Schizosaccharomyces pombe: one gene and its partners. The gene in region 3 interacts genetically with the main gene of each other region. Each region holds a gene or a part of one and is shown on either strand. Other genes may lie near its edges.

Region 1 (3,600 bases), on a different chromosome or scaffold from region 3:
ATCTTGGCTTTTGAAAAGCCCTAGTCTTGTGGAATTGAGAAACATGCTTTGGGTACGACGAAGCACTGGTGTATCTTGCTCATCATATTCCGCATCTTCTTGCATAGCGAATGCCATCGGAGAAGGGGACCTAACTTTCAAGCTAGGAAAGGCAATATCTTTATTTATCTTGGGTAACATATCAATAGGTTTAATGGGTGAAGCTTGAAAAAGATCATCTAAAGAATTATCATTGCAAGCACCAAAATCACTGTTGGGACGTTGAATAGAGGCAGCGTCTTCAACAAGTTCAACAGAGCTTTCTGGTAAATCAGCAACCTTGCCCATCGTAAATGTATCCTCATGATCAGACATTAATTCGAAATCATCCGTATCATCAGTAAGACAACTTTCAAGTAAGCTGGTCGTGTTGCTCGACTGACTACAGGTACGGGATAAGGCATAAGTCAAATGGCGGGTAGCTTGTCCACCAGAAGTTCCCTTCTTTTTGTTAATGGAATATGAGGAACTCGATCTGGATCGCAAAAATGGGGGTGCGTTGCCTGATGATCGAGAACGTGAGACGTTAGGACGAAGGTAGGAATCAAAAGAAGAACTCGATAATGACGAACGAGTAGCTTCGCTTTTGGTGGTGTTTAATGCGATTGATGCTTTAGGCTTAAAGCTGTAAGCAATAGTGCTGGAAACACGTGGGGAATCTTGGGTAATGGAATACTTCGATGCAGGTTGCCGGAAGAAGTAGGACTCGGTTAAAGCGTCATTCGAGGGTGACTCCGGGAGAGGTGAAACAATAGTCTTGTTAGCGAGAGGGGTTTCTACAGTACAAGAAAGAGATCGAAAGAGCGTACGACGAGGAGTCGGTAAGGCAGGGCTTTCATCGATATGCATGTTCATTGACATATCAGCAGCTAAGGAAGATGCAGGTGAAGCTGTCGAACAAGTTTTTCCAAAAGGATCCACTAATGTTGAGGCAATGTGTTTGGATTTCGGGAAGAAAAAATCCAGCTCTTGATTTGCATTGCGATCCGACATCAACTTTAATTCACGGGCAGCAGGACGCAATACATTCCGTTTGCCAGATAGAGTGTTGGTAAAGGAAAGTGAAGAAAGCGGAGAATCCATTTTAGTTGAGGTTTAACTATTATTAAAAGCAGACAAAATGGTAAATTTAATTTAAACCAAGTACACTGCAAAAAGAACTAATGGGACGACACGACTGCAAAAGATTGAGTTTCAGAATGAGAAATCAATAGAGCAAGTAAGATAAATTATAAAGGAAAATCCTAGGGAAGAGTCAAAAGACCGGTTTAAGATATTAATGCCAAAGTGAGACAAAAAGAAAACTAAAAGAAAGACAGGATGAAAGCAATATAGCCAAATATTAAACAAAACCAACCTTTACAAAAGAAACCGGAAAGAAGTTTAAGTAAGTTTAGACTCCACACGACGGGAAGACCGAATAAAAGTATATAAAAAAAAAGAGATTAATGAGACAAAAATAGATGAGCACCAACGGTCACGACTATAATATAGAATATAAAAGATACTGTCGTTGAAAGAAAAAATGAAAGAAAAAAGAAAGTTAAAAGAAAGCAGTTGATTAATATGAAAACAACAGAATACCCAAAAGTTCAGACTCAAAGTTCGTTACAAGTAATAAACCCCCCACTTTACCATATAAAGGCTTCTTGAACAAATAACTTCAAGAATCCTATTAATTGCCTTAAAAAGCGTAAGCAATTGTATTATAGACGTTTCAAAAAATCACTGAACCAGCAGTTAGTACTTGAGAAGCATCAACAGGAATCCAACTTGAGGAGAGAAGGATGCCCGAAACTAACAGGCATCAAGTTCTTTTTAAACTTACAACTTTGGTATTCTTAAGAATAATATTTTCAATGTAATACACTTGATCTAAAGGAGAAGAGCTTGAAGCGCTGTAGATAGTTGAGGGTAGAGAGAAATCTCAGCTCTGCCTCCGAGAGGAAAAAAAAGCAAAGGTAACAACAACAATAAAACACCAACCAACAAATTCGAGTAACAGAAAACAATAATAAAAACAAATACATGATTAAAGCAAAGTTAAACTGTAAGCTGTAATACTTAGCCAACACCTCAGCCATGACAACTATTGTTGTATAGTTTAGTTGCGTAGATAATGCCGTTTCAAGCTACAATATGTCACCTCTTAATCTATTAATTATATAAAAGCAAATAATCATTTCATTAACAACATTGAACTAGATGAAAACACATAAATTTTTGCATCTTGTATGTTTGTTTACATGTCCATACATCTCAGCTATTCGATCCACCGCAGTTTGTCTGATTTGTTGCCCTAGCAACGCCAAATGTTGTGTATGTGTAAACAAATACATAAGAACAAACGTCAGGTAACCTGCTTGACAGCCATTAAATCCCCATAATCTCATACCCGCACTCCTGATATGTAACACGAGCAGCGAGATAAAATATGTTATCAGGTGTTAGCGAATAATCGTAACACGATGAATCTCTCTACTTCGGGACTCGGACTGTCATTCCGAATTGGAAAACGAGGGTGTAACTCATTGAAAGTCTCCCGATGTTATGTAGCTATGGGTTGATACCATTATTGTCGTAGTAGGCATATTTCGCAAGATAGTATAGCCAGTTGTCTTGTTAAACTCGGATATCTTCAACAAAGATACCGCTATTATTACACTTCAACATACAAAATATAACAAAACTCTAACCTTTATTTAAAGTATTCTAGCAATCAGAGGCAGATATCGTATCCACAGAAACACTAGAGCAAAAAAGAAAATATTTTATCAGGTGGAGCACCTTTTTGTAAAAACGCCCTGATACGTGATTAGTAGACAAAGAAAAGTGTAACCATAAAAATTGCTGGAACAAATTGTACGCAAAAAGATGGAGTATGAAACAAATAAAAAGTGCAGTATAAAACAGTTTGTCGAACACTTCGTGGAGTTCAGTGACACAAAATCAAATGAGTATCCGTAAAACCTAAAAACAATGAGTGGACTTAATTCTTAAGATGCTCGGCAAGAATATCAGAAGTGAGGGCCTTGCCTTTGGCTTCAAGAGCACTGACCAATGCAGCACCTACGCCACTACCGTCTTCGGCGGGGATGGTAACAACTTTGCTGCCAATTTCCTCACCAAGGATATCCTTAAATGCTTGAGCAAGACGATCCTTAAAACGAGGGTATAAGTTGTAGACACTACCATCAGTACCTACAATCATAGATGGCTTATTCATTTTACGAACAAGGGCGCATACACCACACGCAGAAAGACGGGCAGAACGAGTTCCAATCAATTCGCATGCACGACGAATGAATTGACGCTCTTCTTCGGTGGTCTTGAGACCATAGGTTTCCTCAAATAGGGTTTGAGTTTCATCAAGGTTCTCAAAGGGGTCAACTTCAATAGCGCTGAGCACAGAGGTATCCATGGCCAAGGGGTCACGAATCTTGGTAACGTCCTGACCGTTAAAGAGAGCTCCCTGTTCATAAAGGTCAAGAAGAATACGACGCAAGATATCACCCAAATAGCATCCAGCAATCATTTTCTCGTACGTTTGAAGACCGGGTC
Region 2 (8,469 bases), 1.1 Mb from region 3:
GAACGGATGGGTGAAAGTAAAGAAAACTTAGTGTAGTCATCAGCCACGATGTCATCACGAAAGCAAAACAATTTAGGACACAAGGCCTTCGGGGGGGTTGGAAAATCAATAGAATTTGATCGCTTTAGCAAAAGTCCACTGGGATTTTTTATGGTAGGCGAGCTAGGTAAAGAAGGTAAACGGACTGCAGGGATCTGTAGGGTATTAGTTGTACCATCTTTTAAACCTTTCTTGCCGAGATTCGTTACAGTGTCATTAAAACCCAACACGGAATCATGAACTGAAGGGGTTTCAACATCCTTCTCCAAATGTGATACAGGTGGACCTTCTACTGGTGCATCATCTTTATTCAAACCCAATGATTTAGCTGACTTTATTCCCAAAGATTCATTCCTAAGTGATTCAGATGGAGAAGCACTGGATGCTGGTGATGACAAAGGAGGAGATGGAGAATTTGTACATGATTGTAAAGGAGAAGTTACAGATACGACAGAGGAAACACCCAAATCGGAAAACTTAGCTTCCAAATCAGAAGGTGCATCGATACCAGGGGTATCTACATAGGGTTGTTGACTATGAAGAGGATGAAAATTTGTGGCATTAACATTAGAGATCGTCGGAATGTTCGTTAAGGATGCAGTATAATAATTCTGAAGATATTGATGTCGCTGATTAAATATATGGGGAGAAGTATTAAACGTGTTAAATCCAGAGGAACCGGTAGAAGATCCATATTTTGTAGAGGAGGTAACGTCTTGAACAGGAGGCGCTGGTCTTGAATTTACTCCTGGTTTACGCAGCTTTAGTTTTAGAAATTGTTCTTCATGACCAGGACGAATGCTCCAAAAATGACCCTTCCCCGGTAAATTTCTAGGACGTTCAATTTTCATGAATGCCTTATTTAGACTTAAATTATGGCGGATGGAATTTTGCCAACCGTTATTGGACTTATTATAGAAAGAAAAAGTATTGCTGATCCAATCATATATAGCACTTAAAGTGAGACGACGATCGGGAGAACGGATTATTGACATTCCAATTAACATAGCATAGGAATAAGGAGGTTTCTTTCCATCATCTAGGGGTAAGAAAAACTCCTCCGGTTCTTGAGACTGAGAAGAAGATACAGAAGGGTTTCGATATATAATAGTATCCAAAGATTGCTCCGAAGGAGGAGGTATGGGAAGAGGAGGAACAGAATAAGTCAATCTAGTATAAGAAGGTATATATGGTCGAGTGGCTTTTGAAGAAGGTTTTTGAAAAGATGCAATGTTATTTTCTTTTCCGCCTGCAACTACGCCCTTCAACTTTGAAGCAACCTTGGGATAAGGTGGTAAAGATTGCAAAGGAATTTCCTGATAAGCAATTGGGAGTTCAGAGTACTTAGAAGCATTGTTAAGGTTTTTTTCATGAGTAAAATAATAAGGGTTAGTAGAATTAAAATTCATGAGGAAGATGTTCAGACAAATTGAATAATAAAACAAAAATTAAAGCACCGTTAGATAATGGCAATGCCAATAATAATAATGATTAAAAGAGAAAACCAATTAAGGGAAAATAATAGTAATAGTGAATACTACTATACTCCGGACTTACACAAACATAGATTGTCAGTATGCGGACCAAAAAGAATGAAGTATTTTGCAAAATTCAAAGATTTGAAAAGAATTAATAATAATAGTACTCAAAGGACAAAAAAAAAATTGTCCGACCTTGGATTCTCGCACTAGTGTTACGACAAGGCACGATTCCGAAGCACAAAAAAAAGAAAGAAAGAAAGTGTGGTGCTCTAAATTCACAATCCTTTACAACCAAAAATAAAGTCTTAAGTCTAAGACAGAAATAATTATAGAAATAGGTATTACAGTATAGGAAGCAAAAGATACAAACTCAATACTGGATGCTGTCAGAAACGAGAGAAATGCACAACGAGATACTAATATTGCATAAAAATATTAAGATTTGTAATAGTGATACACAATCGTGTCAAATATCCTTTCGTATCAAATGCTCCGAATTGCTCCAATTTTGGACGTTTGCCAAAATATGAGTGTACGAGATGAGATAGAAATCTCCACCTCGTGAAAGCGGATCCTCTATTTTAGTGACAATATGTCATAGAGCCGAAAAATCGATTACGATGTTGGGTTGTGAGTATTTTACTAACAGTAATAAGGGTATACGTTATGATACGTTAAGCTGCCAATTATCCTCCTTCATTAAGTATGCCCTTAATTTGACACATTTCTGGTTCCATAGTATTAACCATACAGTAAAACGTTGTTTTATTTTTTGAGGTCCTATAATTAGAAATTTAAATGAAATGAGGCACTAGTTTCAGTTATGAAATATTTTTTTAGTGAATAGCTATAATATTATCTTCATACTAAAATATTTAATAACGTCGGATGTTCATGCAACTTAAATATTGCTATAAAGAGAGTATAAGTTGAAGTTGAGCTTAGTCTAATCATATCAGTTAGTGGTTGACAAATTTTAGGTGATTAATACATTTGGTTAAGAATCAATAGCATGCGTTATATTTTTTGTATTATTTCAACAATAACAATAACGATGATTGATAAATTGACTTGGCTTAGAAACTCATTTAGTTAATAAAATAATAATATTTCAATATTTGGAAGCTAATAATATTCTTTGTCACATAACTGAATCGAGAAGTTCACGGAGCTAATCAAGAATACTTCTTTTTATTAAGGATTTAGACAAAGTAATCATAGTAGCAATAATTCGAGCAAAAATAGCGTAGTTCTATAGATTTCAATTAAAATATTAGACAATTGAAGGGATGGCACACGATTCCTACACATTTACATTGAAAATTGCAAGTGCCAAGCTAATTTCCCAATTTTGCAGTCTGCACACATTCAAAGTTTGATTACAATATTTCTTTCAATGCCGTACTTCTAAAATTTTAGTTACTAGAAGAAAGTTCAAAAACCACTGTGTACAAAGTTTTAGTATGTGTCAAGGTTGCAACACGGAAAGCAAATTGAGTAGAAAGAAAAAGGTTCTGTATTTAACATAGAAGGATAGAAGAATTATGTGTCCGAATTTCTAAATTTGAAAATAACTACTATATGAACCAATGCATCAGGCGAACTGATATGTCTCGTTTAACATTAAGAGAAAGACAATATTCAAGAACACATTAGACGAGCAAATAAAAATTTTTTGCGTTTTCTTTTATAATAACTTACTAATTATGTGGTGAAGTTTAAATATAGTGAAAACCAGGCCATGTTAATTTATGAAACCAAATAGCATGTCAAAAAAAAAGAAGTTTTCAGCGTCTAATTATTGATTTGCTTCTATCGTCAAAATGCAAAACATTGTTTTCCATATCTTCATTGCACTAGACACGTCAGTACCTATTTTGGAAATGAATGCTACATGTATTGAATTAAATTTGAAGAACTTGTAATTAGCATTTAAACTTTTAAAAGTTTTCTCTTGTATTTTTATTTTTTTAATAGGTTATATCCACAAAAAACGCTGATTGGCGCTTACTACTAACTAACTACCACCATATTGTTTTCCTAAATTATGTCGAATTTGCGAATTGTTTGTCAACATTGCCCTTCAGTCGTATTTAATAACAAACGTCCAGATGTTGTTAAGAGGCCAACAATGTCAGCTATGCTGCATTCTGAAACACAAGAAGATCTAGAAACTGACGATTTTTTTCTTCTAAAAGATCCGTTTGCTTTCGACAACGTTAGCGTATCAAAACCCTTAGCAAATAATTATAAATTACTTGCTTGTGCTGATTGTGAAAAAGGTCCGTTGGGCTACTATGATTCTAAGAACAATGAATATTTATTGCTGTGCTCATTGGAGAAAAACTAAGCTTAATAATAAGTTTATCAAACAACTGTGCTATTTATCTTGGTTATAGCATATTTTTGTAAACGTTACTTATTTGATATGGAATGGTCTTTTCCATGTGTCTTTTTATTCTTTATATTTTTTTAGAAGACTTGCAACATGGCCTTACAAAAGACAGGTATGTTGTGGTTTCATATTGAATAGTAACCACGAAATTAGGTATATTTAAATGGAATTATAATGTTTGTTTCTTATTAAAAAGTTCTTTTGTAGCTTACACCTTTGTTGTGATTAGATTTTAATCTTATCGGGTATTAAATGAAATTAACCTTGACTAAACAAAATATACCTTACGATTAAACCAATGTTTTTTTAGCACTAATTTAAAATTTGAAGAAAGCACAGTGAATGTGTTGTACATATAATCAGCTTTTGTCTTCGTAATTACCGATAGATATAAATCGGACAAGAGATATAATCTAAGAGCATAAAATTTTATAACTGTATCTATATTTTATTCAAAAAAGAAAAAACCAAAAAAAACCGTGATATTAAATAAAAAAAAGGAATGATAATTATATGGTATAATTGGAATCCCAAATACATGTAAATGCTTCATTCACGTGTTAATATACGGCAACGCATTATTCATAGTTATCCAATTCAAAAGTATTTGACTGTTGCACCGTCAAATGCAGGTGAAAGAACTAAATATCTACACTTGACACCGTGTTTTTCAAAAATGCTAAGCATTGCATGGGCAATTTCGTCGAAATTTCCGGTTGCTAGTGCAAGAACGGTAGGACCAGCACCAGAAAGACAAATGCCGCACAAACCAGGTTGAGTGTCAGGGTTAAGAGTTGCAAGAATGTTCTGCAAGCCTGGGATCAACGAAGCACGATATGGTTGGTGAACTTTATCCTTCATCACTTCATAAACTAAATGAGGATTTATGGGAGTTTGGCCTAACGCAGTTGTGAGCAAAGCCAAGCGTTGCAAATTATAAACCACATCAGTTCTACCATAAGAAGTAGGAAGCACACTCCGTGCTTTAGAAGTTGCTAAATGGAATTCAGGGATTACGACAATTGCCTTTAATTCAGAAGCCCATGGAAGCCTGGCAAAAGTACCTAAAGACTTGGGAGGTAAAGTTAAGGCTTCGTTTTTCAATAAATCATCAGCAGATGGAGAAAATGCATTCTTTTCTTCCTCAGATAGTTCTCTGAGAAATGAACCTACGAATCCACCCATCATGGACGCCATTACATTGTCTGGGTGTCTTTCTATCATTAGAACATAATCCATCATTTGCAGTTTGGATAGACCAAGTTTTGCAATCTCGTTTGCAAGCATAACACCTGCAATGGCAGCCGATCCACTAGATCCCATACCACGACCGAGAGGAATGGGATTTATAACGTGTATTTTGGTAGCATAGGGAAATGTAGAAATGTTGTTGCAACGTAAGACATATAAAGAGGTTTGTGTTATCATGTTTTTCTGGACATCCAAGGAAACGTGTTCCTTACCGTCTCCTTCATATGTCAAGACACAAGGTCCGCTTTCTGTGGATACTTCCACATCAAGGGTCATGTATTCCTCAAGAGACATTCCCAAGACATCGAAACCAGGTCCAATGTTAGCGGACGAAGCTGGAACTTTTATTTGAAATTTCTGCATTCTCACAAAAAAAGCAAACACCACAAAAGAAATGAGTTTGTTTTAATAAAAATTAAATATATATATATATATATCTGTTAAATAGTAAAAAATAATGAACGGTTTGACTTGAAGAAAACCGACTCTATAATCGTACGGCTTGCTAGAAGCAGGAACAAGTTGAAAGATCGCTTTAATATGCACGAAATATTTTAAAAACAAGGAAAAAGAGAAATGCAAAAATTACGAAAATAATATAACCGCGAACCGATAATTTTCAAAATATTTCCAGATCAAAAAAATAATAAGTATCTATTCCCAACAATCAAATTGCTCGTAATTAAAAAGTAAAAACAATAAAAAAGAAAGGTTGATAATTTGAAGGAAATGAAAAACCCAAAAAAGCCTCGCTTTCTATGAAGATATAGGCAAAGAATAGTTTTCGCTGCCAGAAAGTTGCAATGTTTACTACCTTTAATTCCCGATTTAACACGACAAAATCACCGGACACACTCAATAAAAAGTTAAATTGTGCGCAATCAAATTGCTAACAAGAGTGTTATCGTGCGCTGAAAATGCTGTGAAAAAGGTAAAATTTGATGTTGGTAAAGATTTCGTGCACATCGGGAATCCCCATAAGCGAACCCCTAACTCGAATACGAAATTACGCACTCGAATGCCTAATCTATTAAGTTGATTTTGATTTGAAAAGTGTCATGTTACCCGCACTTTTTCGCAAAACCAACTTGAAATCCGGAAAACTGGAACAAAATGCAGTTTGCAGTTATATATTATCTATATATGTTATATAAGAGAAATTTTTTTTTCGCCAATTTTATTCTAATGAACTACCAACACAAGTTCTGTAATATAACGAATTGTGCTCGCATCTGGAATGTTTAATTAAAGAAAATTAACGCAACACTAAGTACTTTATAGAATCGGAGCATATTGAAACGATGCAGCGATATTGTACATTACAAAGATAACAGTCAAGATTTTCTCTTAAGCAGAAATTGCACGAATGGAGTCTAGCAAGTACCAAGCGCGTGCTAATTAAAAAAGCCGTTTTTGAGCTTCTTCTTATTATAGCTGTAAGTTTTAAGTCACTATTTTTTGCAGTCAGTGTGTTAGATACTAACTTGCAATGGTAGCTTGCTCGCTGTAACGAAAGCATGGAACCCATTATTGCGTTGCTGATTGGCAATGGCGGTCGTGAACATACCATCGCATGGAAACTTTGTGAGTCTCCTTTAATTTCCAAAGTTTACGTGGCGCCTGGAAATGGTGGTACTGCAAGCAATGGAGCGGAATCTAAGATGGAAAATGTAAACATTGGAGTTTGCGATTTTGAGCAACTTGTCAAATTTGCGCTTGATAAAGATGTAAATCTTGTCATTCCTGGGCCTGAACTCCCTTTGGTAGAAGGTATTGAAGGTCATTTTCGTCGTGTGGGTATCCCATGCTTTGGTCCATCTGCATTAGCTGCTCGTATGGAAGGTAGCAAGGTTTTTTCTAAAGATTTTATGCATCGAAACAATATTCCTACAGCTGTATATAAGTCCTTTTCCAATTATGATCATGCAAAAAGCTTTTTGGATACATGCACCTTTGATGTAGTCATCAAAGCTGATGGACTTGCTGCTGGAAAAGGTGTAATCATTCCGAAAACTAAAAAAGAAGCCTTTGAAGCTTTAGAAAGCATCATGTTAAATGAAGAGTTTGGATCTGCTGGTAAAAATGTGGTTATCGAGGAGCTGTTGGAGGGTGAAGAATTATCTATCTTGACATTTTCTGATGGTTATACTTGTCGTTCGCTTCCTCCTGCTCAAGATCATAAACGTGCTTTCGATGGTGATAAGGGTCCCAACACTGGAGGTATGGGTTGCTATGCTCCTACTCCTGTAGCTAGCCCCAAACTACTTGAAACGGTCCAATCCACCATTATACAGCCTACCATCGATGGAATGCGTCATGAAGGTTATCCATTAGTAGGTATTTTATTTACTGGATTAATGCTTACTCCCTCTGGCCCCCGTGTCTTGGAGTATAATGTTCGTTTTGGTGACCCCGAGACTCAAGCAGTATTACCCCTTTTGGAATCCGATTTGGCTGAGATTATCCTTGCCTGTGTGAACCATCGCTTGGATGCTATAGATATTGTCATTTCGCGTAAATTTAGTTGCGCTGTTGTTTGCGTTGCCGGTGGATATCCTGGACCATATAATAAAGGTGATATCATTACTTTTGATGCCCTAAAAGACAAAAATACTCGTATTTTTCATGCTGGTACCTCAATCCGTGATGGCAATGTTGTTACCAATGGAGGACGTGTACTTGCTGTGGAGGCTACGGGAGATTCAGTTGAGGCTGCTGTTAGATTAGCTTACGAAGGTGTGAAAACTGTTCATTTTGATAAGATGTTCTACCGTAAAGATATTGCCCACCATGCTCTTAATCCTAAGAGAAAGACACGCGAAATCCTTACTTATGAGAATTCAGGCGTCTCAGTTGATAATGGCAATGAATTTGTTCAACGTATCAAGGATTTGGTCAAATCTACACGTCGTCCTGGTGCAGATGCTGACATCGGTGGTTTTGGCGGTATTTTTGACCTCAAACAAGCTGGCTGGAATGATCCATTGTTGGTTAGTGCTACTGACGGTGTCGGTTCAAAGTTGTTAATTGCTCTTAGCCTTAATAAGCATGATACTGTTGGAATTGATTTAGTAGCAATGAACGTCAATGACTTGGTTGTTCAGGGTGCTGAGCCTTTGATATTTTTGGATTATTTTGCTACCGGTTCATTAGATTTGAAGGTTTCTACTAGTTTCGTTGAAGGTGTCGTCAAGGGCTGTAAGCAAGCAGGTTGTGCTTTAGTAGGTGGTGAGACATCTGAAATGCCTGGTTTGTATCATGACGGACATTACGATGCTAATGGAACCTCAGTTGGAGCTGTCT
Region 3 (3,600 bases):
CATTGTCGGTGAGTCGGAAACTGAAGAGCGTAACTTATTTACCATAGATTCTCTCCAGGAGCTAATCCCTTCAAAACCATTGACCAAATCAACACCTTGTAAATCATGTAATTGTTCATCAATCTTTTTCGGTGAAGATTGCTGTATTTGAGAGTATATCAAGTGACTATTGACCGGATTTCTGTAAGGTGAAATTGTGTCATATGAACCTACTTGAGGCCAATCGTGTGGATTGGGAACTGCAACATATTTCCAAAAAGGTGCAGGAGAAGACGTTGGATATGTAGAAGATCCAATAGGAGATCCAAATGCAGCCTTTTTTGTTTGAGAAGCACTATTAGCATCTAAAGCATAATCATGGGTGCTAATAATATCAGATAATGCAGCATGTGTAGGCGTTTTGTAGGTTTCCATTTGCTTTTCTTCTGCTGAGGTTTCAGCAGTCGAGGGTGAGCCCACATCTTTAGGAGTTGAAGGAGTTTGATCACGAGCAGATGTAGTGGATGAGGCTGGCTCCGCCGCCGGAATAGAGGTGTCCTTCATTTTCGGAAGGATGGGAATTGGTAATGATGGAGAACCCTCTCTCTTTTTTGCTAATAATGGCACAGGAGAGGAGGGCGAGCGTTTACGCGGTGTTTTTCTAGTCTTTGCAATAAACTCTTCGCGAAATTCAGGCACAATCGACCACTTCATTCCCTTCCCCTGCTCACCTGACTTCCGTGGAACCTTTCGAAATGCTTTGTTGAGAGATAAATTGTGACGGATAGAATTCTGCCATCCACTTTTTGTTGTGCGATAATATGGGTAATGTGTTGAAATCCATGAATATATGTTAGAAAGAGTCATCATGCATTCAGAAGAAGATAAAATTGCTTGTGCAATCATAACAGAATAACTGTATGGTGGTTTTTTATTATCACCATATTCAGCAGCATCGTTTACGGCTGCGGAAATTTCAGACTTTATAGCATCCTCCTTTATAGTGCTTTCGTCAGTTTGCTTTTGCTCAGCTGCATTGGGTAGTACGAACATCATTTGTAAACCCGCTACTTCGAGTATAGATCTAGTAGATAATTAGTAAGACGAAAAAGAAATAAAAAAAAATAATTGGCATAATTTCCTGCATTTATTTGAACTAGGACGGAAATAATTATTTTCTTGATAATTTGACAAATCCTTAACGCGCATTTATAAAATAACCAAACATTCGTTTAAAATTGACAAATAACACGAGAAAACCATAGAACTTATGAAAGAGTAAAGCATAAATTATGCGCTGCTGAAACCATCAATATTCCGTCCTGTCGCAAATCACGACGAACCAACACTATTCTAGTAAATGATTTTTAACATACCCACTTGTAAGCTTGACTGTTTCCCCATTCTTGAATAACTTGCCATCTACTTTAATGCCATTTCGACCGTAAACTGAGCAATTCCATGTTTGGTCATCCAAATCATATTCCACAACAGCGTGTTTTCGACTCACAACTTTAGAAGGACCAAAATTCATATCAATTACTTCTAAATCTTCATTTTTCCCCTTTGGTGAAGGATTTGCTGGTTCGCGACCAAGTATAATTCGAATTTTCTTAACATAATAAGTCCATGTACTTCCAGCGAATTTCGCATAAGCTTGTATTTCTCCAGAGTGTCTTTCCGCATTTTTACTGTTCGAATAATCATCGACCACTCTCATTTCGTGAGGTGGAACGGACAACTTCGCAATTTGGGATTCCAGGCGACCATTCAATACAATGTTACGATCTGTGTCTACATCCATTTGCTTTTTGTAATCTAACTGTTCTTTTCTCTCCTCGTCATCTGATATATGCTCAGACTTGCTTTCGAGTCTGCGAACAGTCATTTTTCCTTTCTACAGCAATTGTGCTGTTGGTGTGTGTTTATTTACACTCGTTTGTTGTTGTCAACATTCGTTTACCTTCCGTTGCCAGCGCTTCACGGTATAACTAATATTGACCATCATTTTAGATACATAGAAATTAAAATATACATTTTTCTAAATATTTGTACATTTTTTATTTTTGTCAACAATGCGTCTTTGTTATCGTTGCTATTTATATTTTTGTAAACAATCAAGATACCGGATCTTCGATATACTTTTTTAAATACTAAGCAGTTAAAAAAATCCTCTTAATATATTGGCGTAGGATTAACTTATAAAAAAAAAAAACTCAAACAATCATAACTCTGCAAGACTTGTAATAATTTTAGCTTTTCAGCACTCAGTGTTTTTTGCACATGTAATGGCGTCTAACGGTCGCGTGCATATCCTAGTAATTACCCTATTATTTAAAACGTGTCTACTGAAGATTTATTTTGAGAACTGTACAAGCTATTACATGAATACACTAAGAGTATTAATTGTGTTTTATGGAAATTCCGAATCATTATTTCGCTTTCAATCAACCGATTTTGTGTGGCTGCAATATTAACGCTCAACTGTTTACTCACGTTATTTTCCATATTTTTACTAACTACGCGATTCGCGAAGTCTCTGTAGGATACGTAATATTATTTGGTGAGTTCGTAGCGCACTATAATGTGTGGTACACAACAGAAAGTATTATGCAATATACAGTTACCGAACATAACTCAGGCACGGAGAGACTTTGATATTATAATAAATAATATGTGGCTTACATGAACAGACAAACTTGATCTTGAATGATCTTTATTTCCCATACTTTTTTCTTCAGTAATATTGAAAATAGTCAATAAACGGCTTGATGGTTCCAGCTTCAGGACTCATTGGAGAACTCACACGTGAAGATGTCAGGCTTATAACGATATTTAACATACCGCAACAAAAACATTTAGCATGGTATAATCTCATTGCTTCACCTACACATGTATGCTAACGTGAAGTAACGAGTAATTACTATTTAGCGGATGTATACGATCGCTGGCACACACTCTCGTAGGTTTAACCTGTCGCGTATATCATCCATAATCGCTTCGCAGCGATCACCATTTATTTATTTATTTACCTATCTAAAGCACCAAATTCCTTTAGTTTCAAAGCGTTAAATTTTGAATGATAAACTGCATTTTTGCTCACTTGCGTTAACTTTCGGTTGTAAAAACCGGTAACAACGATTCGATAAATACAAATTAAAAGACCTGTTCTCCCTCAAGTTTGAAGTTAGCAGGCTTCAACATAGTTTATTGATAGGCTGCTGAATGTCTTCCGGCGATGTATCTCGTAGACAGCGTGTTTCTAGAGCATGTGATGAATGTCACAGGAGAAAGATCAAATGTGATCAGAGAAGGGTAAGATGTCAATTTCTTTGCTCTATTTATGTTTTGCATAATTTTATTATTTGAGTTGGGAACTGAGAACTCACTTCACCCAGTTACCGCTTTCTCTGAAGTTGATTGTAGCTTGATTGATTTCAGTTCAGCTAGAGAGCATGCGGATAACCTTTGTCGTTAATTTATTATTTTTTTGGCTTTTATTGCTCTTTTTCTATCTTATTTGCATTAATTTGGATGAGCGATTAGAAATAAATATAAATTTCTGTTCTTTACTAACTTTTTCAGCCTTGCTCGAATTGCATAGCATATAACTATGGTAAG

The links.
Region 1: mutations in fkh2 (region 3) and cdc25 are lethal when combined (synthetic lethality), as found in Schizosaccharomyces pombe (2 studies listed by BioGRID, with this or other methods).
Region 2: of fkh2 (region 3) and sep1, a mutation in one rescues a mutant of the other (synthetic rescue), as found in Schizosaccharomyces pombe (2 studies listed by BioGRID, with this or other methods).

The regions. Positions count from the first base shown.
Region 1 is NC_003424.3:480,419-484,018, forward strand, and holds the start of cdc25 (protein tyrosine phosphatase (M phase inducer) Cdc25), read right to left. Parts: upstream 1,956-3,600; 5' UTR 1,868-1,955; exon of another isoform or gene 1,768-1,867; 5' UTR 1,123-1,767; coding exon 1-1,122. Other genes in the region: hxk1 (hexokinase 1), read right to left, coding at 3,029-3,600.
Region 2 is NC_003423.3:3,134,039-3,142,507, forward strand, and holds the start of sep1 (DNA-binding forkhead transcription factor Sep1), read right to left. Parts: upstream 2,067-8,469; 5' UTR 1,449-2,066; coding exon 1-1,448. Other genes in the region: dss4 (guanyl-nucleotide exchange factor), read left to right, coding at 3,568-3,870; thr1 (homoserine kinase), read right to left, coding at 4,513-5,529; ade1 (phosphoribosylamine-glycine ligase/phosphoribosylformylglycinamidine cyclo-ligase), read left to right, coding at 6,684-8,469. UniProt on the Schizosaccharomyces pombe protein: Required for promoter sequence element PCB-driven, M-phase-specific transcription. Acts as a transcriptional activator with a role in the regulation of mitosis. Regulates septation and the periodic transcription of cdc15.
Region 3 is NC_003423.3:4,240,796-4,244,395, forward strand, and holds the start of fkh2 (DNA-binding forkhead transcription factor Fkh2), read right to left. Parts: upstream 1,924-3,600; 5' UTR 1,868-1,923; coding exon 1,356-1,867; exon of another isoform or gene 1,064-1,355; coding exon 1-1,063. Other genes in the region: regulatory protein ntu1, read left to right, coding at 3,205-3,294, 3,565-3,595. UniProt on the Schizosaccharomyces pombe protein: Required for promoter sequence element PCB-driven, M-phase-specific transcription. Acts as a transcriptional activator with a role in the regulation of mitosis. Binds, cooperatively with mcm1, the CLB cluster regulatory elements throughout the cell cycle.